Oryzias latipes: one gene and its partner. The protein of the gene in region 1 interacts with the protein of each later gene in a pairwise test. Links are inferred from orthologs where the notes say so. Each region holds a gene or a part of one and is shown on either strand. Other genes may lie near its edges.

Region 1 (12,123 bases):
TTTCCTAATTTTATTAACAAAACACTAACAAAGAAGAACATTCATAAAGTTAACTTTAGCAATAGAAATCTAAATTTCTTTGAACTAATTGCTCAAATCAGACAATATTTAAACACTATGTCACCCAGTACAAAAAAAAGCAATTACAACCATCACTGGCACTGTTTCAGCTTTACACAGTAACAGTATTACTTTAATTTGTGTTGTTTTTTTTTTACTGTTGAAACCTCTTTGTTTTTTTTTGTTGTTTTGTTTTTTATTGGGTGTGGGGGGGGGGGGTATGTACAGTTTGTTTGTTGTTCTATACTGTATTTCATGTAAGGGTTCTGACTAAAGTTTTTTTTTTATTCTCAAGGGCCTGCATTACTACCGTTCCAATCTCAGTCCATAACATTTTAGAATCCTTTGTTAGGAATACTTGTTTTTCAGGACAGAAGCGCAATAATAAAACCCTTCATAATTTATTCCAAAAAGAGTTAGTTTCTGCTTCTCAAGCTGTTTCTTGTTGGAAAGGTGTAGTTACAGATTAAGATTGGGAAAAAATTTGGGTAATTCCTAGTAGATGTTTAACCCTTGTGCTATCTTAGATGACCCCACCCTCACATTGATGTGTTCTCCCTACCATGATGTAATCCATGGGCACCAGTGAGGTTCACAAATAATTGTAGAAAAAAGGTTTAGCTCACTATCTAGTGGTCTAGAAGACCCAACTCCCAATATTAAAGTGCCTAAGATAGCACAAGGGTTAATAACAGACAAAGTTTCTTTCAAAATTTTACATAAGTTTTACCCTGTTAACAATTTCATGTCCAAATTCAATAGGAACATTGTTGCAAGGTATTCCTATGAGGAAACCACCCAGAGTCTCTACATCACCTCTTCTCGATCTGTTCACACACTAGGGTTTTGATCATCTGCACAAGGATTTTATCTTAAAATAAGAAGACACATTTTTTATATAAACATATTAATCCTAATGGCAAATTTTCACATCCACAAAAAATGTGGATGTGAAATCCAGAAATCCAAACAAAGTCAACAAAGACCGTTTTGAAGCACTTTTAAAATGACATTGTTGTTACATGTCACAAATAAGTCATGCTAGTAAGAAAAAGGCCTTGAAAACCACCAATATATTATTACTTTACTCTGTGTCTGAATATTTGTAACACCTCCTGACTTTGTTTCTTTGATATCTATTTGTATGATGTTGCTATTTCTATGTGCATCATTTCTAACTAAAAAAAAAAATACTCCGCAACTGTAGGTGGCGATAGAGTCGCTTCTTATCTTTACCATAGAAGAAGTCCTTCCTCCACACGTGGCTCAAAAGCACAACATGACGAAGCGAAGACAGAAAAATAACTTCTTTACGAAACTGTCCAAAAAGCAGAAGAAACACTTGAAGGAATTTGGAGAGGAGCACCCATTCCACGATGTGTAAGCGCTGTTTCCTTTTTAGTTTTACAAATGTTAAGACATATACAGACTTGAGGGTTATCAAGAATAATGTATGTTTTATTAAACAAGTTCTGCTAACAGCTCGTATTTATCTATTTAATTAAGATTTCAATGTATTTCTTGGAGAAACATTTTTCCCATTTATTTTTTTGACCATGCTCGTATGAGTAGATTAGCCACCGGAAGTATCTGGCAAACTAGCGATCCGAGCTTGTGCGCGAGGCTGCAGCGTTGACTTTCTTTGAATAAACATCGCTTGTCATCAGTAGGTAGCATAAAGTCGAGCACATCTTGTAATAAAATTTGTTTTTGACCTGCTTCTCAAATTTTAACTCGTGTAACGACGTAGGAATTTTTCCGGACGGAAATTTCGGTTCACAAAACCTCTCGTCAGCTTTTAAGTTAGTTGGTGTCTGATTTTGATACTAGTCGATTTTTGCTGTCGTGTTCTCCACCTTCTGCAAATTTAATGAGATAAAAAAGTAAACAGGTACTGTGTTTTTCGTTGGCAAGCAGTGCAAGCTTGAACATGAGGTCACATGACAGGTTTTGGGTAAGCTGACTGGCCGGCTGGTTTGGGCACCGCAGAATTTCCTCTCTGCTCTCTGCAGATGATGTCCTGTTGGCTTCATCGAGCCATGCATTGGGGCTGTTTGCGTCCGAGTGTGAAGTGGCTGGAATGAGGGTCAGGACCGCTAAATCTGAGGCCATGGTTCTTGACCAGAGAAAGGTAGTTTGCCATCTCTTGCTGGGTGAAGTGTCCTTGCCCCAGGTGGAGGAGTTTTAATATCTTGGAGCATGAGATTGATGGGCAGAGCGGGCTGCATCCAGAGTTATGTGGTTGCCGTATCGGTCCGTTGTGGTGAAGAGAGAGCTGAGCCCAAAAGCAAAGCTCTCAATTTACCGGTCGATCTTTGTTCCAATACTCGCCTATGGCCATGAGCTCTGGGTCATGACAAAAAGAATGAGGTCTCGAATACAAGCAGTTGAAATGAGCTTCCTCCGTAGGGTGGCTGGGCGCTCCCTTAGAGATAGGATGAGAAGCTCGGTCACCCGCAAAGAGCTCGTTGTAGAACCACAATTCCTCCACATCAAGAGGAGCCAGTTGAGGTGGCTTGGGCATCTAGTCCGGATGTCTCCTGGACGCCTCTCTGGGGAGGTGTTCCGGGAATGTCCCACTGGGCGTAGGGCCCGGGGAAGACCCAGGATCCGCTGGAGAGACTACGTCTCTCGGCTGGCCTAGGAATGCCTCATGGTCCCCCCTAGAGTAGCTGTAGTTAGTGGCAGGGGCGAGGGAAGTCTGTGCGTCTTTGCTAAGACTGCTGCCCCTAGGACCCGGTCCCGGATAAGCGAAGGGAGATGGATGGATGTATCAATCATGACTTTTTAAAAAATATTTCATGTATTTCTACCCTTTGGTATCATATTTTTGCGGACTTTGTAGATATTATTTTCATGTTTTTCTGACTTTCTCTTTATGTTGGTAACTTAAAATAAAATAAAAAAATATCCAGTGTAAATAAGATGTCTGCTTTAAAAATGTTTTTTAAGCTAAATAATTTCATAAACATGATATGTAATACTTAGGGCTGCATGTAATAAGGAAAACTCGAGATAGGCGATATTAGTGATCAATATTGCAATGACGATATTACTTGCAATACATGAACAATAGCAAAACAACCAAAAACCAAATTTCCATTTCACTGCAACAGTTTAATTTAAGAGTTAACCCTAGTCTACAAATGAGGCCAACATCTAACATAAAAGAGCTCCATCCAATTGATCAAATACATGAAGGGATTTATTTGATTCGTTAAATACTTCAAGCTGTCATAAGACTGTAACGATTTATTGCAATTTTCACCATCTTTTGCGATATCCGTATTGCACAACTTAATATCGTGATAACGATAAATTTGAAATTTATTGTGCAGGCTTAGTCATGCGAAGATGTTGGTGTATATTCTGCCCTACAGCATCAGTGTAAGTTCAAATTGATCTGTACCATTTCTTGATTATTTTACTAATTGATTATTATTTGATAATACAGAAATAAAAATGTATTTGAAATCAACTTTAATTGTTGTAGTTCTTTTGACTGGCTTTGCAAAGATGCCTCCCTTTTTTGGATTGGGAAGTTATGACACTAAGAACACTCATCTTTGATTCCGGTCACACAAATTGTGTTGTTTTCCTTTATATTTTAGAAATAAAATATGCCCTACATGTGATCACTTAAAATGCCATAACTTTATTTGTTGGCCTATCTGAATGATCTGTATACTAATTAAATTTTAGTCACAGGAATGGAAAAATGTGAACTGCACATAGAACTATTTACTAGTTCTATGTGCAGTTCAGTTTACTAGTTAAAGTTACTTTTACCATGCAAAATGACAACCATCTGAAATAGGGTTGGGCGATGTCCATTAAATTGGCCGTTGACGATGTTTGCTGTCAACCATCGGGATGGACGATGACATCGTCGGGGGGGGGGGGGGGGGGGTATTTTTACATTTTTCGTTCTTATATAACTGCTATTCGTTTTTTTGCTTTTTTCATTTTATTTCCCAACTGATGACTAATCCGTGATGATCCAGTATAAACTGAGGGAAGTGACTTTGACAAAAAAAGTAACAAACAAAATAGAAAAGAAGTAGTCCGCACCCGCACTTCCGGGGGAGTGCGGACTTACAGCTTTGTGTTTGATGGGAAGGGGGGGGGGTACATGAGCGGTATGTGTGGGAGATTTAAGACTGCGATCCGTCCCGCAGCTCTAGGGGTACTACCTACCGAACTCAGAACCGGGTCTAAAAGTGTGTGTCTGTGCACAGCTCGGATCGTCAGCAGAAACACAGCGGTTTGAGCTTCAAAGCAGAAATGTCGCTCAGTCCTTAGAAAACATTCAAACAATCACGCGGATTTGTGTTTCCAGTCGTGTCCCGACTAAATAAAGGCTGATGTTATTCTTACATGTTTACGTGCAGCCAGCAAGCAGCACCACCCAAAGCTAATGTTGTTAGCCCGTGTTAGCATACTGCTAATCCTGGCTTCGTTCAGAAAAAGCACTGACCACACGGATTAAAATTCAAATGATGAGCGAACAGGTGTTTCATAATAACCGTAACATTATTAAAAGCACGTTTAGAAGATCGTCTCGTATTTTACCGAGCTGACATGTCAATGTATATAGCCGCTCGGCGCTGTTTAACATTGTTTTGTATTGAATTGTTACATACAATAAAGTTTGAAGAAAAAAAGCCGCTCGGCGGAGTTTATATCCCTCCGTTTTTCAAACCCTACTGCGCATGTGCGAATGATTTATTCCGACGGAAAGTGTGACCTTAGTGAACGTTTTTATATTCTAAAAACATTCTTCTGGGCCCATGTACACGGTTGGATTCTAATCCGACCATTGATCCCATCAAGATATTTTGTACATGTAACCACGGCTTATGGTGTCGACGCGCAACGGGGCGGGGGCGTGGCATCACGATGGTGGTCTCTCCATCGGGATGTCAGTCACCCATCACGATGGACGATGATATTGTCCATCGGCACAACCCTAATCTGAAACAACTGAGACATCCTTATTAACAAAAAAAGTTACACTTCCCAGCTTGGCAAGCAGGGGGCGTAACACTACTAGAGCAATTAATTATTGATAGAAGATTCATAACATCCCAGGAACTTCAAGACAAACATGGAATAAATAACTTCTTGAAATATAAACAACTTAAATCTATAATTACTAAAACATTTAAATACAAAGACAATTACCTAGAACTACAAGAACCAGTTGTATCTGATTATTTCTTTCAATGAATAAAACCTCCAAAATATATGAACAATCTTATGCAATCTAGATAATATTTCAATCCGATAACAAAATGGGATGCAGATTTGAGTTTCATTACAGTTAAAAGCTTCATGGGAGATGACCAAGGAGGACACCACTATTGAAAGGAAATCATAAAAAAGCGAGACTGGAATTTGCAAAAATGCATCTTAACAAGCCACAAAGCTTCTGGGAAACCGTCCTTTGGACAGATGAGACAAAACTGGAGCTTTTTGGTGAAGCATACGACCAAAAGAACACTGTCCCTACTGTGAAAACATGGAGGAGGCTCAGTTCTGTTTTGGGGCTGCTTTGCTGCATCTGGAACAGGGTGTCTTGAAGTTGTAAAGGTCAAATGAAATCTCTAGATTATCAAGGCATTATGGGTAGAAATGTGCTGCCTAGTGTCTGAAAGCTTGTTCTCAGTGGCAGGTCATGGGTCTTCCAACAGGACAACGATCCAAAACACACAGCCAAAAAACCCCAAGAATGGCTGAGAGAAAAGCGTTGGACTATTCTGAAGTGGCCTCCTATGAGCCCAGATCTGAATCCCATTGAACATCAGTGGAAGGAGCTGAAACATGCCATTTGGAGAAGACACCCGTCAAACCTGAGACAACTGGAGCAGTTTGCTCATGAGGAGTAGTCCAAAATACCTGTGGACAGGTGCAGAAGGCTCATTGACAAATACATAAACCCTTTAATTGCAGTGATTGCCTCAAAAGGTTGTGCAACAAAATATTAAGTAGTGGGTACCGTCAGTTTTGTCCAGCTCTATTTGATTAGTTAGTTTTTTTAAATAATTCTGATAATCAACTCAATTTTAATGTATTGTTACTTTTGAACATTTCAAGTCATTTCAGTAAGCATTGTGGACTTTCTTTCTTTAACTGAGGGGTACCAACAATTTTGTCCACCACTGTATGTTTGTGGCATTTGGGTGTGTGTGTGTGGACAGGTTAAAGAAAAGAAACATGTTTGAAATTTAAAAAGAAGAAAAAGTTTTTTTGTTTAAATAATAAAGTCAAAGACCATAAAGAAATAAAGTCAAGATGGTCCTAAACTAAACTAAACAACATTTCACAAACACTGAGGGTTTTTTTTTAAGGAAATGAAATGAATCCCTTTTGGATTTATATTACTTATCAACCTGAATGGAATGATTGCAAACATCCAACAACTTGTTGCCTTATGCTGCTGACCCCCCCCTCCACTTTAATACCCCCCCCCCCCCCCAAGGGCACCCCTCTCTCTTCTTCCCTTCTTTTCTTTGCCGTCCAGTCCAACAAAACACTGTTACAGATATGAGTAAGATGAATAAAGTTTAGCCTAAATTATCCTATCAAAAATGTATATAATCTATTTATGACTAATAATTCTCTAGAATATTCACCTAGTGTGTCAAACATTTCATAACCCCTATTGTAACAGTAAAATATGTCCAACACAAGAGGCTTTCACCTCTCATCTGTCTACTTAGCTGTTCAACAGGACAAGTTTAAAAAATGTAGCTGGAAAATCTGCAGTCTGCTGACCTAAAACTACCAGAAAATAAAATATGTTTGCACGGACATGGATATTAGTAACTGCAATGCAAACGATTCTCTGATTGCGTCTTTATCTTTTCTGTTTTTTTTCATAGAGTTACCGAAGGATCTGAAAGGATGGAAATAGTAGAACTGGTGAGTTTTGCTTTTCCACTTGTTATCCTTTCTGAACTCTAGTTTCCTCATTTACACTTCTGTGTCTGCTTCAGCCACCTAGCCCAGAACATTCACCCGTAGACCCAGAAGAGCAGGAAGATGGGCAAGAAGACAAGGAACCAGAAAAGAAAACGCCCTATCAGAAGCTACTTTCAACAATGAACCAATGCACACCTCATGCAGAGGAGGAAAGCTCAGAGGATGAAGAGGAAATTCTAAGTAAAGGTTATTGTATAAAGGCTTGTTTGGATGATATTTAGCCTTAAAGTCCCACGAAAGAAATCTTGTGATTTATTGTAAAAACATTATCAGTGGTGTTTTAATTATGATTATGCTATTTTTTTAAACCAAAATCTAAAAAACTGGGTTGTTTTCTAGGACATGCTTTTTACAGAGCAGCAGCAGTTCATTAGAAATTTACCTTTGAGTTTTGGATGGAACTGTTGTCACAGAACAAGCCCACGGCCTCTTCCTGTCACACATCTGTTTACACTCTCTCCCACTAGCTTACAGCCCCTCACACCCTCAACCTTACGTTACTGGTGCAACAAAAACTGCAAGCAATATTGGATTTATCTTGTCGTACAGTTGTCCTTGTCTAAGATGGCATCTGGCTCTAAACTGCACTGCTGGATAGCTTTATATTGCTCATCAGTTTTGTGCCAGTAATGTTAGCTTGGGTATAAGCTTGCGATGGAGCAAGCAAACCAAGCTCTCAGCGACTGGGTGGGGAAGGGGGTTGGATTCCTTCACACCATCTGTCCTGCCCTCAATTCAGAGGCCAATTTATAATGAGCTCCTGCCGATGTGCAGAAAATGTATTTAAAAAACAACACAGGCTTTTTGATTCTGGCTAAAATCTACATAATCATAATTAAAAGAGCACTGGGAACAATTTTACGATATAAAAAAATGTAGTTGGAGAGGGACTTTAATTAGCATTTTGTTTTTAATGTATTACAGAAGTCAATGATGAAGCTGAGGATGAAAGTAATAATGATGAAGAAGATGTGAAAGAGCTGGAGGAACTTGCCAATAGAGAAGCTGAGAATGGAGATTGCAAGTACCAAAACGAGGCTAAAGAAGAAGAGTTTGTTGACAAGGGGCAAGAGTTGGAGTTTTCCCTAGATACCAACTTCCTGAACAGAAAAGAGCAGTGTGAAGCCGGAAACTTCACGCAGGAGGAAAACGGCAAAGGTCAGAATCTACGATAGGGCCAATATATATTATGGTTATGTGTTAGGGGTGTAATTATTCATTAACACAGGGGTGCTCACACTTTTTTGGTGTGTGAGCTACTTTTGAATCGACAATGTCTTGAAGATCTACCTAAAAGATATTCATGCATATATATATATATATATATATATATATATATATATATATATATATATATATATACACACACATATATACATATATACATACATACATACATACATATATACATACATACATACATACATACATACATACCAGGGACTCAGAGAAGAACTGGAGAAAGCATGGAAAGTGAAGGTGACAGTGGTGCCTGTGGTAATTGGAGCACTTGGGGCAGTAACCCCCAAGCTGGAGGAGTGGCTACAACAGATACCTGGAAAGACCTCAGACCTCTCAGTCCAGAAAAGCGCAGTGCTAGGAACAGCTAAGATACTGCGCAGGACCCTCAAGCTCCCAGGCCTCTGGTAGAGGACTCGAGCTTGGAGGAGAAACCACATGCGGAGGGTGAGAGGGGCGTTTTTTTGTTTTTTTTTTTTTTTAATAAATACTATTAGTAAATGACATTGAATCGACAATGTCTTGAAGATCTACCTATAAGATATGCATGCATATATATATATATATATATATATATATATATATATACTATTAGTAAATGTTTATTAGTCACATTAGTTGTTTATTTGAACATTATTGTTTATGTACTGATGATTAAAAAACTACACAGTGAGATTACACAGATACTTTTGTATTAACAGATTAGGCGTTTTATGACAAAGACAGAAAGCAGCAACCATCGTATGACATGCTCTGCTGAAAATCGTGCAATAGGAAGAGCGTGGCATTTAATGCGCTGCTGGCTCCGTACGCGCGTGCCTCTGATAAAACAGCTTCCTTAATGAGCTCGTATTTATCGGCCGAGAACTGCAGAGCTGATAGCAAGAGGAGAAACGCGGGGCGACTTCAATAAACACTCCGGTTGTCCGGAGAGCTCTCCTGCCGGGGACAAGATGTGCCGCGGGGCAGAAAACGACTTTCTCATGACAGTTTGCGCTCAGTGAATTTATGCGCTCAGTGAATTTAAACAGGCGTCTGCAGTGACGTATGTATCAGAGGATGTCCGATTGGCCGTTCTGCATGTCAATCAAGTCCCGTACTTCTCGGTGAGGATTTTGATTGGCTGGTGGATTTTTAAGAAGTGCTTTTTTTTTTTTAATCTTCTCTCTCCTGGATCTACCCTCATGTCCTTGAAGATCGACCGGTCGATCGCGATCGATGTACTGAGAACCCCTGCATCAATCTAACCATATTAATTTGTCTGAGACAAGTTGTTAATTGAGTCAAATTGACCTGTATTGTTATAAATTTATATCAAAATAATACAGTGCCTTGCGAAAGTATTCGTCCCCCTTGAACTTTTCAACCTTTTGCCAGGCATCAAACATAAAGATATAAACTGTAATTTTTTGTGAAGAATGAACAAGTGGGACACAACCTTCAATTGAACAAAATTTATTGGATATTTTAAACATGTTTAATTAAAAAAACAACCAAGTGCCATCACAGCGGACAACACACACGTGATGGGAGCATTAATGATCAAGCCATCATTACAGTCCAATGTATGGAAACACTGAATTTTGCAAAGACGTGACAATTCAGTGTGGTAGAATGTACCGTTTGTATTATTTATATGTGGATAATCATTAGTGGGCTGAACTTATGAAACTCAAATGTAAATGGTTCTGCCATTAGGTCTTGTTTACTTGTTTGTACACTTTTTTTTACACTTGATTATCCTACAAGAAATGCAAGGAATCTGGAAAATTTCCCCTGCACTGTTCAGTACCCAGGTATTTATCTCTTGTGACACATTGGTTGAAGTCTTGGCTAAAGATTTCCTGGATCGATTTTAAGTCAGTGAATCGGATCGTTCAAAATGAACTAATGTCGACTATGAATTGTATCAAAAACCACATTATTATATGAATCAAATCATTGTTAAAATGAATCGTTACACCCCTAACAAAAATGCATTTTTAATGTAGATCTTAATTTCTGTTATAATTACAAATGTTTTGACTGTTATCTGTAGATATGTTCCAGCAGCATTTGTACACAGAGCTCACTGAAGAAGATGTGCAGAAGATAATATCTGACAGCAAATCAAAAACACAAACTACGGTATGGAATGAGTACTTTATTTTTTGCTAAACTCTGCTTACAGTTTTGTCTTTTTTTCTGAATTAGTTGGCAAGAATGGGAACGCTTCTCTGCACCACTTTCCTTGAGAAGTTTGGGCAAGTTGACCTGCAGAAAGATAGAAATCTCCCCGTTTTCCACCCATTTTTGAAAACCAGCTGGAAGGATCTGAACCAACTATCCGACCCTAAAGAAACACCCGAGGAGATCAGCCCTCTCCAGCTGGAGTTACTGACCCTCATGGCCTCCTACAAGGATTTGTGTTACTCAGAGACCTGTCCACTTAAGCTGGGTCCTCAGGTCCGAAGTGCATACTGCCTCCATGTGCTTAACCACGTTCTGAGGGCCAACTCTCAAGTACTGTTGCACAATGCGCAGGTGAGGGAGCGGAAAACAAAATCTACAGTTGAGTGCCAAGAAGAACACAGAGACCAGGGACTGACCAGGCCCAAGGTAACCCAGCCATAACCAAGCAGTTCTTGTTTTCATACATGACTGATTAACAGCTAAGGCAGGGGTCGGGAACCTTTTTGGCCAAGAGAGCCATAAATGCCACATATTTTGAAATGTAATTTCGAAAGAGCCATACAATAATGTAGTGTCCCTTCCCCACACTGAGGCACGGAGACTTAACCTTTTAAAGTTCTTTATTCCGATTACTGCAGACCGCAACAAACGCCGTACAATTAATTCAGCAACTCCTGAATCTCTCCCGCCGAGACGAGAGAGAGCGCTTCTCCCAACTTTATATTCCCCTGCTACCGCTGCAGCCCTCCCATTTCCCTTATTCGGCCCATAGCTGAACCCCATTGGTCCAAACTACCTAACAACAGGCTGAGCGACAGAACTGAGAGCCAATCAGATCTCTGCTTGACGCGTTCAATGAACTCCAGAACTTTTAACGCGGCCCAACAGCCATCCAACTCAGTCCGCGACAATTTGTTTAAAACTAAATATACAAATGAATGTGTGCATTTGATTTAATTTCAACATTTTTAAAGTACAATAAGTCTGTGGATTCTTTTTAATAACATAGTTATGCTGTTGCTAATAAATGATGAGTATTTCTCGTGGTAGTTTTGCTGATGGTCTAGTCTGGTTGATCCGTGGTGAGTTTCTGCTTCGTTAAGGCGTTGAAACTTTAAACGTGATCGTAGGTCTGAATGTTCTGTAGATGTGAGAAAGACTGCTCACATGCAGACGGGGAGCCAAACACACACTCACACGCTGCAGTGAGTGACGGGCAGCGGGTTTTACGTTTTTATAATCCCTGCGCGATTCACCTGCTGTCCCCCCACCCCCACCCTCTGCTTTCTCCCTCTCAGTCACATCCTGTCCCCGCATCTGCGCGCTCTTTCTCAGAGACGGGAGCGCGCAGTTTTAGGCACGTCAATTCACAAGTTTCCAGCTGGTACAAACTCTGTGAAATAATAGATAATAGTAACTGATAGCGCTGGCGCAGATTTCTCTCTCTAAGCACTGCTACTACTGCGCGCCTCTGGCATCGCATCGCGCCCGAGAAGGACTGGTCTAATGAAAAAAAAAAAACTATAATTAAAGATTTGTCTGCGAGCCACATGTGACCATCAAAAGAGCCATATATGGCTCGCGAGCCATAGGTTCCCGACCCCTGAGCTAAGGTGTTATCTAAAAACCCACTCAGATGAAAATAATTTTTTCCCTGCACTTTTCTGA
Region 2 (11,051 bases), on another chromosome or scaffold:
CAGAGATCTACCTGGCATTCGGTGCGTTGCTACTCACTATTTTAAACCATGAAGCCCCGCTCCAATCATCTTTTGATCTATTGTAAAAGCGTTCTCAGTGGTCCTGTAATCACGTTTATGCCCTTTTTAGCCAAAATCAAACAACCTGTGTCATTTTCTAGGACATAGATTCTCCAGAGTAGCTGTAGTTCATCTGAAATTCAACTCCGAGTTGTGAACCAGGCTTTTGGCTTGGAGTAAGCCTGCCTCATTTCCCATCATCCCTTTATTAACCCACTCTCCTGCTAGCTCACAACCCCAACCTAACATTACGGGTGAAATAAAAATGGCGAGCAATATTGGAGCTATCCAGCCATACAGTTTTAAGATGAATACCAGCTCAGATGAGGAAAACAAAAACATAAATGGATCTAGTTGTCTTCAAACTTTTTCAAATGCTATTTTGGTGTCACAACCATTTAAATAAAGACATACTCAGAAAGGCAATTGTCTATCACTACCAGGGGTGTTCCACTAATGTGACATTGTGTTCATTTCTCATTGTTTTCCAGAACGGGTTTAGGGAGAGGGCGGGCCTGGTTGCATTTGGCGCTCATGCAGAAAAAAATAGCAGACTACATTAAAGCTCTGTTGGACCACAAAGACCTCCTGAGGTGAAGTAAATGCATTGAATTTGACTCCTGTGTAAACATTTTGTTGATTATTTTTTTCTTTCTTCCTCATTTTGTAAATGTCAGTGAGTTTTATGACTCTGGAGCGATGATGTTAGAAGAAGAAGGCTCCGTATTGGGTGGTTTGCTTGTGGGCCTCAACGTCATTGATGCAAACCTCTGCATTAAAGGGGAGGACCTTGATTCTCAGGTGAGTGGTAAAACGTCCTTCTCCGTATTTATTATTTCCAAGCAATATGTTGATCTGTATCTCCTACATCAAGGTGGGAGTCATTGACTTTTCTCTTTACCTAAAAGATCCTGCAAGTTCTGAAACGCCAAAAGAGTAAGTGGATGCTTGTAAATGTTATCGGTACTTTATCAGTTTTCACTCCTGAGTTGTTTTCTTCTTTCCTTGCAGCGATGCTAACATGACAGCGATATTAGATCAGAAGCACTACATTGAGGAGTTGAACCGTCACCTAAGTGGAACCGTCACCGACCTTCAGGCTAAGTTGGACTCAATAGAGAAAACCAACAGCAAGCTTGTAGAGGAGGTCAGGTGCACTTGTATGTGCCGTTTGTTTCATTTCAAACAAGTCAAAAGAAGTGATTTTATTTTTATTTTTTTAAATTCTGACATTTATCTAAATGTAAACAGTTTTTTTTCTTTTCTGTGCTCTTGTCTTTAGCTCACAGCAGCAACAGACAGAATCAACTCTCTGCAGGATGAACAGGAACAGCTGAAGAAGGAAAATGAGTCAATTCTGCAGTGCAGCCAGAAGAAGGAAGAGGTCTGACTCAAACTACCAGCAGTTGGACTTTTGTCACATGAAGGAGGGAAAAGGCACTTAATAAAACGCGCGTGTTTCCAGGCAGCACTTCAGGACAGTCAGGTGGAGCTGGAGACCTACAAACAGACTCGACAAGGCCTGGATGAGATGTACAACGTTGTGTGGCAACAGTACAAAGAGGAGAAGCGAATTCGACAGGTGTGACCATTTTGGGTGGGCTTAAATGCTGTAACAATATATCTATTATATTTTATAGATATTATGTTTTTTCCAGGGTTTTTATTTTTATATACCAGTACTTTAGTTTTCCTTACATTTTAATCATTATTAACATAATTTTAAACTTCTAAATATGTCTTTAGCAGTGCTTACTTCCAACTTTTCTGTTTTATACTTGTTGTTGCAAAGTCATGCTCCTAGTGTTCCTGTCTTGTGTTTCTTTATCTGAACATTTATACGGGAAAATCCAAAGGAAGTTTTAATGTGGCTTCATGTTCAATTTGAGTTTTTTTTTTGAGTACCGGTATACGTTTTTGTGTTATGTCCCAAAGAAGGCAAAAGACTCAAACTAGTCTTCTGTTAGGAGCTGCAGCGTGAGCTGGAGCTCCAGGTGGGCTTGAAGCAGGAGATGGAGGTGGCCATGAAGCTGCTGGAGAAGGACTCCCACGAGAAACAGGACACGCTGGCGGCCTTACGGCTCCAGCTGGAGCAAGTCAAAACGCTCAATCTGCAGATGTTCCACAGAGCTCAGGTAGACGCAGAGGCGTGAACCGTCTCTGAACATGGCAGCACAGAATCTTACAAATTTGTGCGGCTCTTAAGGAATCGGAGAGACAAGCGGAGAAAAAGCAGGAGGAAGCGGTGAAGCTGGAGCAGAGGATGAAAGACATGGAGAAAGCCATGGAGGAAATGGAGCAGAGGTATTCAAACGTGTGTCTTTTGTGCATTAGGTCTTTCCATTAAAATCGGTGCTCCTTCTGATCTTTCAGACTGCAGAACTCTGAGTGTGAACGCAAGCAGAGTGACCAGTCGGATGAAGACATGAAAGTAGAACTGGAAGGAAAAGTAGATGCTTTGCAGACACAGCTGACAGACCTGGATACACTCAGGTGATTCACACAGTAAAAACAACTAAAACCATGTTTCATCTTTCTTACTTCAAACCATAGCTGCAGTAATGTGGAGACAAAATGAACCTCTTTAGACTGTTTCTTGTCATGGGATATGTTTTAAGAAACGATTTGAAACAAAGTTTTGTTGCAATTAGTTTGAAAATGTTTTAGCACGAACATTAAATACAGTTTTCTTGCATCGTTGCAGTGAAAAAACATGACATTTGTTTAAACGTCACCTAAATAAATGCAGCTGATTGTTTTGTTGTGTGGCTGTTAGCTGTGGTTCCTTTCACTGAGTTTTCAACCCATTTCAGTGGCTGCATGATTGAATGAAGTGAAATGTTGGAGTGACTGTGTTCCTCTGTGACGCAGGCTGGGTTTGGAAAATGAGCTGCGCACTGAGAGGGAGCAGAGGCAAAGCTTGCAGAAAGCCTTGCAGCGAGAGCAGGACAACAGCTCGGAGCTCCGCACGCAGCTGCAGCAGCTGCAGGGCCTGCATGTGGTCAGTAAACTAGGAGAAAACAACGTTTTCACCAAACTGTATTCGCCCTTAGCCAAGTGTCCACTTCTTATGGCATGAAAGAAGTGGAAAAAAAATGGGTTTTTTGAGCGTATGCAAATATCCGGATGGTTCCTTGTTAACATGCATTACTAGGGGTCCCATTCACGTTAAATAGTTGAAAAAATGACCAAAACTACGAGCATAAAGTAGCTACAGGTTCCACTGTATACTGCTTTTTATTGCATGTTATTTCACTTTACCCTTTTCGTTTTTTTGAAGACTATTTGCCTTTTGTGGTAGGAGCGTAACAACCAGAATTATTTCTATATACCGTATTTTCCGGACTATAAGTCGCACCAGCCCAAAAATGCATTTTAAAGTAGAAAAAAACACAGATAAGTCGCACTGGACTATAAGTCGCATTTTGACAGGAAATTTATTTGACAAAATCTGTGACCAAGAACTAATAACTTTCACAACCTTATATGACACAATCATAGCAGACTGTTTATCTAATAATTTCACAGTAATTTTTTCTCAAACTTATTTATTTATTCTTCATGAAGCATCATTGGCCAACTAATTCTCTGTTTTCATCCTGTATTTGTAGAAACAGTTGTCATTTTATTGCATTTCTGAATCTATGAAATCATTGGAAAATAGAATATTATGTTGTTAGCCTTCAAGATCTTACTGTAAAAAAAGTTTGCTGATTCTCTGAGTCACTTAACATACTTTTAACACTTAACATACCTCATACATCAAATTGACCCAGGAACATCATCTCTGTTCCTCACAAATGAACATAACAGGAGGGTTAACAATATATTTATTTCAATTTATTCCTAATATAAGTCGCTGCGGAGTATAAGTCGCACCCCTTGCCAAACTATGAAAAAAAGGGCGACTTATAGTCCGGAAAATACGGTAATTAAAAGATATCAGTGGATAAATAAATCTACTAATGCAAAAAACAAAACCTTTCAAAACAACTGTAACTTTAAATTAGTAAAAAGCAAAAAAGACCCATTCCAATGAAAATCATATTTGGGTGTTGTTGACATGTCATTGTAGCATTTTTGTCCTAATGGACATATATTAAAAAAAAAAAGATTACCGGTAATTATTTCTTTATTCAAATGGTTGTGAACCAGAAGCAGACACTAAGCTGCCGTTGGGAAAAGCTCGTAGGTGTGACAAAGAAGCTACAATTGACAGACCACAAACTCCCTGCTCCACTCCATTCTGAGGCATCCACCTGCAGATGCATAGATTCATAAATGTCTTTGTTTTCATTATCTGAGCTGGCATGTGGCTTAAAGCTGGACAGCTGGATAGCTCTGATATTGCTCACTATTTTTGTTGCACCGGTGATTTTAGGTCAGGGTTGTGAGGGGCTGTAAGCTAGCGGGAAAGAGTGTAAACAAAGGGATGATGGGAAATGAATGCTGGCTCACTCCCCCACATCGTAGAAGTGAATTTCTGATGAACTCCTGACGCTCTGCAGAAGCTATGTTCTTTAAAACGAATTTTATTTTTAAATTTAGGCTAAAAACAGCGTAATCATAATTAAAAAATCGATTAAAAGATAATTGGAGTGGGACTTGATAGTGTAAAATAGTAAGACTTCTTAGTCCTTTCTGCTGCTTTTAATACATACATTTTTATGTACATTACTGTTTTAATGGTTTAACAGCTGTTGTCAGGAAAAAGAAAGAACTAATGCATTATTTGTTGCAGGAGCTTCAGGAGTTGAAGCAAGAGAAGCAGCAGCTGCAGGAGAGGTGTGAGCAGCAGGAACAGGCCCTGCAGGAGATGGGACTGCATCTGAGTCAGTCAGTATCAGTCGTTTTTACTTCAAGAATCAAATATTTCATTTTTAAGTGCATAAATCCTCTCTTATTTTGCTTTTTTTGTGTGTGCTTAAAGGTCCAAACTTAAAATGGAAGACTTTAAAGAGGTCAACAAAGCCCTAAAGGTAAACTGAAGGAGTCACTTGTGTTACTAATGCATCCAATTTTTGTGGACGAATAGGAAAAAAAAAAAGAGTAAATGCCTGTGCTGACACCTCCAGGGCCACGCATGGCTGAAAGACGATGAAGCCACTCAATGCAAACAGTGTCAGAAGGAGTTCTCCATCGCCAGAAGAAAGGTCCGGGCTCTTTGTTGTTTTGAACTTCTTCAAAAATCTATTTAGATGTGAAAATAATACTAATAATGATTGTTTTTGCAGCACCACTGCAGAAACTGTGGAGACATCTACTGCAACAGCTGTTCCAGCAATGAGCTGGCCTTGCCCTCCTACCCTCGGCCTGTGCGGGTGTGCGACGTGTGCCACGCCCTCCTTCTGCAGAGAAGCTCTTCAACGGCTTCCTGACGACACACCACACCACAGACTTAGATGTAACGCTAAATAACAACCAATCACAAAGAACTAGAGAGCTTACGGTAAAGGAGAACTGTCAAACCTGATTTGCCGTTTCATTTTCTGAAATTCCCTTCATGTTTTGAAATCGATAAGCTCCACGTCTTTTCAACAACACTGACACCCTCACTATTCAGTGAAGTCCAAACACACAATCATGCTCCGGTTTTGTGTTGGTACACTACGGCAGTGCAGGAACGGCGCACAGCACCATCTGAACTCCAGTTTTGGGTTTATTTTTAAAGTGCAGACACAGAAACATGTTCACGTCACATTTTGTAAACGAAAGCAGCTCCAGTTCTATGGCTAAGAGGCTCGGGTTCAGGATCTGATGTCTTATTGTGGACTTGTTTAGCAAAACCAGAAGACCTGATCGCAAAACCAAATCTTTAAGACTGTTCGGATTCTGCTGATTAACTTTCATATCTACAAACCCTCATTTGGTGGGTTTCCAGTGACTAGTGTAGCTTTAGTTGATTATGAAGCCATTGGATATTCAAATATCCAGTTTATTTTGCTTACGACTTTCTAAACCTTTCTACAATGCAGATTACAAAAACTTTAAGGCTCGTCTTTCTGCATAAAAATGTATTAACTTGAGACTTAATATTTTATTAAACAGTTCTGATCAGGATGTAAGTTTGTGTAAATGACCGTGGAATGTCGACAGAAACTAACGTTGAATGTCTTTAGTTTTTGTGGCTCGTGATGACTACGATAAATCGGTTTCTATAGTTGGAGAATTTTGATTTAACATTTTTACCAATTTATTAAATAAACTTACAACTTGTTCTTTTTTCAATGACATATTCCGGAGTACTTTTATTCACTTTGTGCACAGAAAATACAAATAGAAATTTGAAGCAGTAAAAACCTCCATTGTAGCAAATTGGAAATTGGTTGCCCTGGATACAGCCTTCATTCACCAAAAAGAAAACAAACTGTAGAAAAGAAAGCACGCTCAGACCACACCAAAATTCACTTTGGGGTAACATTTTAACTGGAAATAAAAGACTAGAGGCAGACACAAAGTAAAATATCAAAAGGACAGTAGACATTTGCAGTTTCCCTGCTCATGCATAAAGACTTTGCATGGTGTGTTTCAGACCACCAACTCATCAAGTGTACTCTGTGAATTCCAGACTGGTGTTTGGGGATCAGCAAAGCAAAACAGCATAACTTTGGGTCGTAGAAATGAAAGCAAAGTTCTGTAAGGTGTTAAATCTGAGGAGCGGGTCGGTTAACACTTCAGACATTTCTGGTGGAAACGGGACGGTCCAGCTTCTCTTTGAAGGTCATTTTCTTATAAAAACAAAAAAACTACGCCCTCAACATTTTCAAAACCTCAACTGACTACAGAGTTTACAAGGCGAAGCTCGGAGTTTCAGTTCTTTTAGCAAAATGCTGACTTAAAGAAAAAAAAATCTAACAAGTGGAGAAAAAAACAAAAAAAAAAAATATCTACATTCCCCATCCCCCACCAAGTCCATTCATTGAGCCTCTGCTTCCTCCGCCTCCACCGCCACCATAGTAACTGCTTCCCATCCCGCCCTGGTTACCTAACAAGAAAGAGAAAATACACACTATTGGACCAAAGAGTTTATATGAGAGCGAGGTACCACCAAGCAAGAACACTTCTGCTTTGAATATTATGTTTGACCATAGACTGTATATGAGAACTGGACTGAGGAACCCCTCCCCCTTAGCATTCCAAACAGGAAGTGAATGCATTAGACTTCGATTGAAAAATAAACTGCTATTACTCAAGCATTATATCTTACATTTTCTTGCTAATCCTTTTTTTTTCCACGGTATTTTTTTCTGTAGTGCAAGTTGTTCAAGTTATAAACTGGCCAATCAGATGAAAGTAGGTGGTGCCTACTGGCCTCAACGTTGGACAGATTTCACACCAATCATTGCTTCCTGATGACGTAATATGTGGCAATGTCCGTATCGTGAAAAATAAGACATCTGAATTGACGTCATTTGGTTGGAGCCAGGAGTCGGCCATTTTTTACAGGTGACGTCACCATCACCAAGTCCAGTTCTATTATACAGTCAACGTGTTCAACAAATGTAGTGCTTAAAGTCACATATCAGATGTAGATTAGCTTGAATTGTTATTTTAGAAACTTCCTTTTGAGAATAAACCATTGGCTTAAAGACAAAATATATACTTCATGGTTTTAGCATTATTACATCACCCTTGAAATGTTTTAGGGTTAAGATCAGCACAAGAAAAAGAGATGACACTCACTGTAGTCATTGTAGCCGCCCATGTTTCCTTGGCTGCTGTACCCACCAGAGTACCCCGAACTTAGCTGACCCCCGCTGTAAGAGGACTGGTTTCCTGTGGACAAAAATAAAACACATCAGGTTTAAGGAGAAATTATTATAATCATGTATTCCCTTTAAGAAAAGGCTTAACTATCAATGTATTCTATCTTTGGTTAAGCATTTCCTTACAATCAAGAGGTCAAAATATCTTGGTTTCCATCACTTACCCATGCCACCCATCATCTGGCTGCCATAAGCTCCATTACTGCCACCTGCTGTTGAGTTTAGGAACAACTCCACATAACGGTGCTCTGCAAAGACAACCGTGCTTTAACTAAAAGGGTAATGAGTGATACGGTGCATTTGAAGCTACACAAACTAACTCACGCATGTTGGCTTTGTCTTTGGACATGGCTGCTACAGCATCTTCATGTGTTGCAAATTCTACATCCGCTTCCCCGGTTACTCTGCCGTCTGGACCAATCTCAATGTGGACGCGCACAGGATTCAACGGAGAGAAGAACTAAAGCACGGAAGTCAAAGTTTCCAAGTTGTTTTTTTTAAACAGAATCCAAAACAAACTTGTAACTGTAGTGGTTTGTTAGTGATGAGTTTCCATCTCACATTGTAGATGTCGGTCTCTGTGGCTCTGTATGGCAGGCCTCTCATGTGGACACAGTGACCTGTTGTGCTCTGGAAAGACGAGCCACTGTCGCCATAGCGTCCGTCTGACACACCTGCATATACAGTGAGATTAGCACAGTCTTCCAAGGACCTCACACCCTAATCCCATTAGTTCTATAATGCAGTGTTTGCATGAAAGGCCATCGGCTGAGAGATTTCAAACAGCTGCGCAGCTTTAGAGCACCAAGCCCAACATTAGCCTGCTCCGAGTCCACCCACCTCCTCCTCCTCCTCCTCCTCCTCCATAACCGCCACGGCGCATTCGGTCATAGGATGCCCCTCTGCCCATCATGTTGTAGCCGCGACCACCAGAGGGCCGGTCGTAGGGGCTGGGTCTCTGCATACCCATGGGCTTTCTCTGGGGTTCGTAGTGAGTCCGCACCTCAGCACGACAACTCTTGAAGATTTCAATGTACCTGAGTGCATAAAAGTATCACAATTAGGCCATGTGGAATGGATAGGAGCTGCATTTGCTTAAATCTGGTCTATGCAGTTGCTGTCATGTTGTAGTCCAATTATAGACATATCTAACATTACTAGATGCTTGGTGTTTAAGAAATGACAAGAACTCTATACAGTAAGCCTTGGTAACTTAGCTTTTCTTATGGTTACCTGAGGCAAATTAGAAATGGGATGCATATTACAGTTACAGCTTCCTTTGACCGTGACACAGCAGCCAGTGTCCTGGTTTAAGAAGGCTAAAGAGAGCGCTACCCACACTGCAACCCACTCTAAGCATTACCTGAGGCAGTGGGCTCCAGATCCTTGTGTACAGTGGCCCTGGGATTTTTACCACAAGGGAGATTCCTTACCGTGTATCAACCTGGACTCACATTTAGTGCTGAGACACCATTTGCTTTTTTTTTTAAATTATGTCAGCCAAATTAGGAATAGTCTGTTTTCGAATGGTGACAGAGCACTAACCTCCCCACTGAAAAGTGTGAATGTCGGGCAGGGTTTCTTTTAATGCAGTGTTTATGTTTAAAGGTGTGTTGTTTAAAAATGTGTGGCAGTTGTTGAAGGTGCACACCATAAGAAAAGCAACTTATCCAGCCAACCAACCAACCATCCCCACCTGTGCCCTATTCTTTCCTTGTGTTTCTTTAGAGCCTTTTCAGCTATATCCTGTGAAGCAAACTGCACGAAGGCCTCCCCCGTACTCCTCCCCTGGATGTCCACCGGCAATGTTATCCCATTTGGCACGATTTCCAACCCTTCAACCCAAGGACAGATAACCCCAGCAGGGGACATATTAAATCACATGCCCAATCACAGAACGTTCTCTAAAGAGAGAGAAAACTTATGGAAATTCTTACACATCACACATATACCAGTTCAGTTTTTACCTGGCTCTTTCAAGGAGTTACACTTACTGTGTTGTGGGGTTAAAGCAGAAATGACAGGATAGAAAGAGAGTATGAAAGGGGGCATTTTGTGGGGGCACCAAGCTAATAGTGGGGTGTTGATGGAGAAAAAGGTTTCGGTGGGTGACATGAGGAACATTACCTTTTGCCAATCAGATACAAATCTGAGGTCTGACACAAACTGTGAACATCAATTATATAAACATTATTAAGAGACAAAGGGCTGAGGAAGTGTGAGGAGGAAAGAATGCTGGGGTAACTGGGAAGAGGTTCTATTTTGTATTTGTGAAAGCAGCTCAGCCCGGCACCCCCAAGGGCAGCAATCCCCCACTTTGGTGTTAAAGTGCTTAGATTGGGAGGCGTGTAAACAAGTCATTTGTAATACCTGTAAAGGGTAAAAGAAGAAGCCCGGGGGGCATGACAGAGGCTAGAACCCAAAAAGCGCCCATCTGCCCAGCTGAGCAGTACAAGTACAGTTAGCCTAAAGCATTCGTAAAAATCACTTCATCTAAACACACAAACTGTGCAAACACTGTTGATTTACTCAGAAAAATCAAAGAACACAGAACAATGAAAAATATGTGACTTAAAAACAAAAAAGTCAACTTAAAGTGATCCTCCCATTTTACCAGATCCTAAAAGGAGATTATTACCCAAGACATAGTACACAGGTGTTCACCAAAACCCAATATTGACCCAATATGAGTCTCAAAATATACATTTTTTATTTATAGTTTATGGTTACCTTGGAAAACTTGAGCAAACAACTCTTAGATGTTTCAGACTGAGACCCAGCAAAATGATTTCTTTTTAAGAAACACGTCTACAAATGAAATTAAGCTTTAAGTTACACACACAAAGAATTGTTGATTCTTCTCTGTTATCAAGGCATTATAAAGTAAAAAGTGCTTTTTCTGCCACAATGGTTGGTCTCCCTAGCAGATAATTCATCATTTAGCAGACAAATGACACAAAATACACAAAAAAGGCTAAAAGTAAAACAGTTGGGACTTTTCAGAGGTGCTCTGATCCAAATCCTATTTAAAAATCTGTGGAAAGCCTTAAACATTCTTGTGGAGAGGGTCCCCTTCAGTCTTGCAACAACTGGAGTGGTTTGCTTGCAAAGAGTAGATTAAAATACCTGCTGACAGTTCCAGGACCCACAGATCCAGATTTCATATAATTGCAGTAATTACCCGTAAAAGGTTATGATCAGAATTATTAAGTTGAAGGTACCAGA

The links.
Region 2: the proteins of diexf (region 1) and RUN and FYVE domain-containing protein 1 interact in binary tests that used the Homo sapiens proteins (3 or more experiments, as listed by UniProt). The link is inferred for Oryzias latipes from reciprocal best matches to the Homo sapiens genes UTP25 and RUFY1.

Annotation. Positions count from the first base shown.
Region 1 is NC_019880.2:28,786,672-28,798,794, forward strand, and holds the start of diexf (digestive organ expansion factor homolog), read left to right. Parts: upstream 1-1,283; 5' UTR 1,284-1,339; coding exon 1,340-1,440; intron 1,441-6,944; coding exon 6,945-6,984; intron 6,985-7,058; coding exon 7,059-7,230; intron 7,231-7,968; coding exon 7,969-8,202; intron 8,203-10,321; coding exon 10,322-10,410; intron 10,411-10,476; coding exon 10,477-10,881; intron 10,882-12,123. UniProt on the Homo sapiens protein: Component of the ribosomal small subunit processome for the biogenesis of ribosomes, functions in pre-ribosomal RNA (pre-rRNA) processing. Essential for embryonic development in part through the regulation of p53 pathway.
Region 2 is NC_019868.2:19,587,533-19,598,583, reverse strand, and holds the end of RUN and FYVE domain-containing protein 1, read left to right. Parts: coding exon 1-21; intron 22-551; coding exon 552-653; intron 654-737; coding exon 738-861; intron 862-934; coding exon 935-996; intron 997-1,071; coding exon 1,072-1,207; intron 1,208-1,342; coding exon 1,343-1,444; intron 1,445-1,525; coding exon 1,526-1,642; intron 1,643-2,027; coding exon 2,028-2,195; intron 2,196-2,266; coding exon 2,267-2,364; intron 2,365-2,433; coding exon 2,434-2,553; intron 2,554-2,931; coding exon 2,932-3,061; intron 3,062-4,801; coding exon 4,802-4,896; intron 4,897-4,990; coding exon 4,991-5,039; intron 5,040-5,135; coding exon 5,136-5,213; intron 5,214-5,294; coding exon 5,295-5,438; 3' UTR 5,439-6,423; downstream 6,424-11,051. Other genes in the region: hnrnph1 (heterogeneous nuclear ribonucleoprotein H), read right to left, coding at 6,948-7,045, 7,744-7,836, 7,991-8,074, 8,151-8,286, 8,388-8,500, 8,667-8,863, 9,523-9,661. UniProt on the Homo sapiens protein: Activating adapter involved in cargo sorting from early/recycling endosomes. Regulates retrieval of proteins from endosomes to the trans-Golgi network through interaction with the dynein-dynactin complex.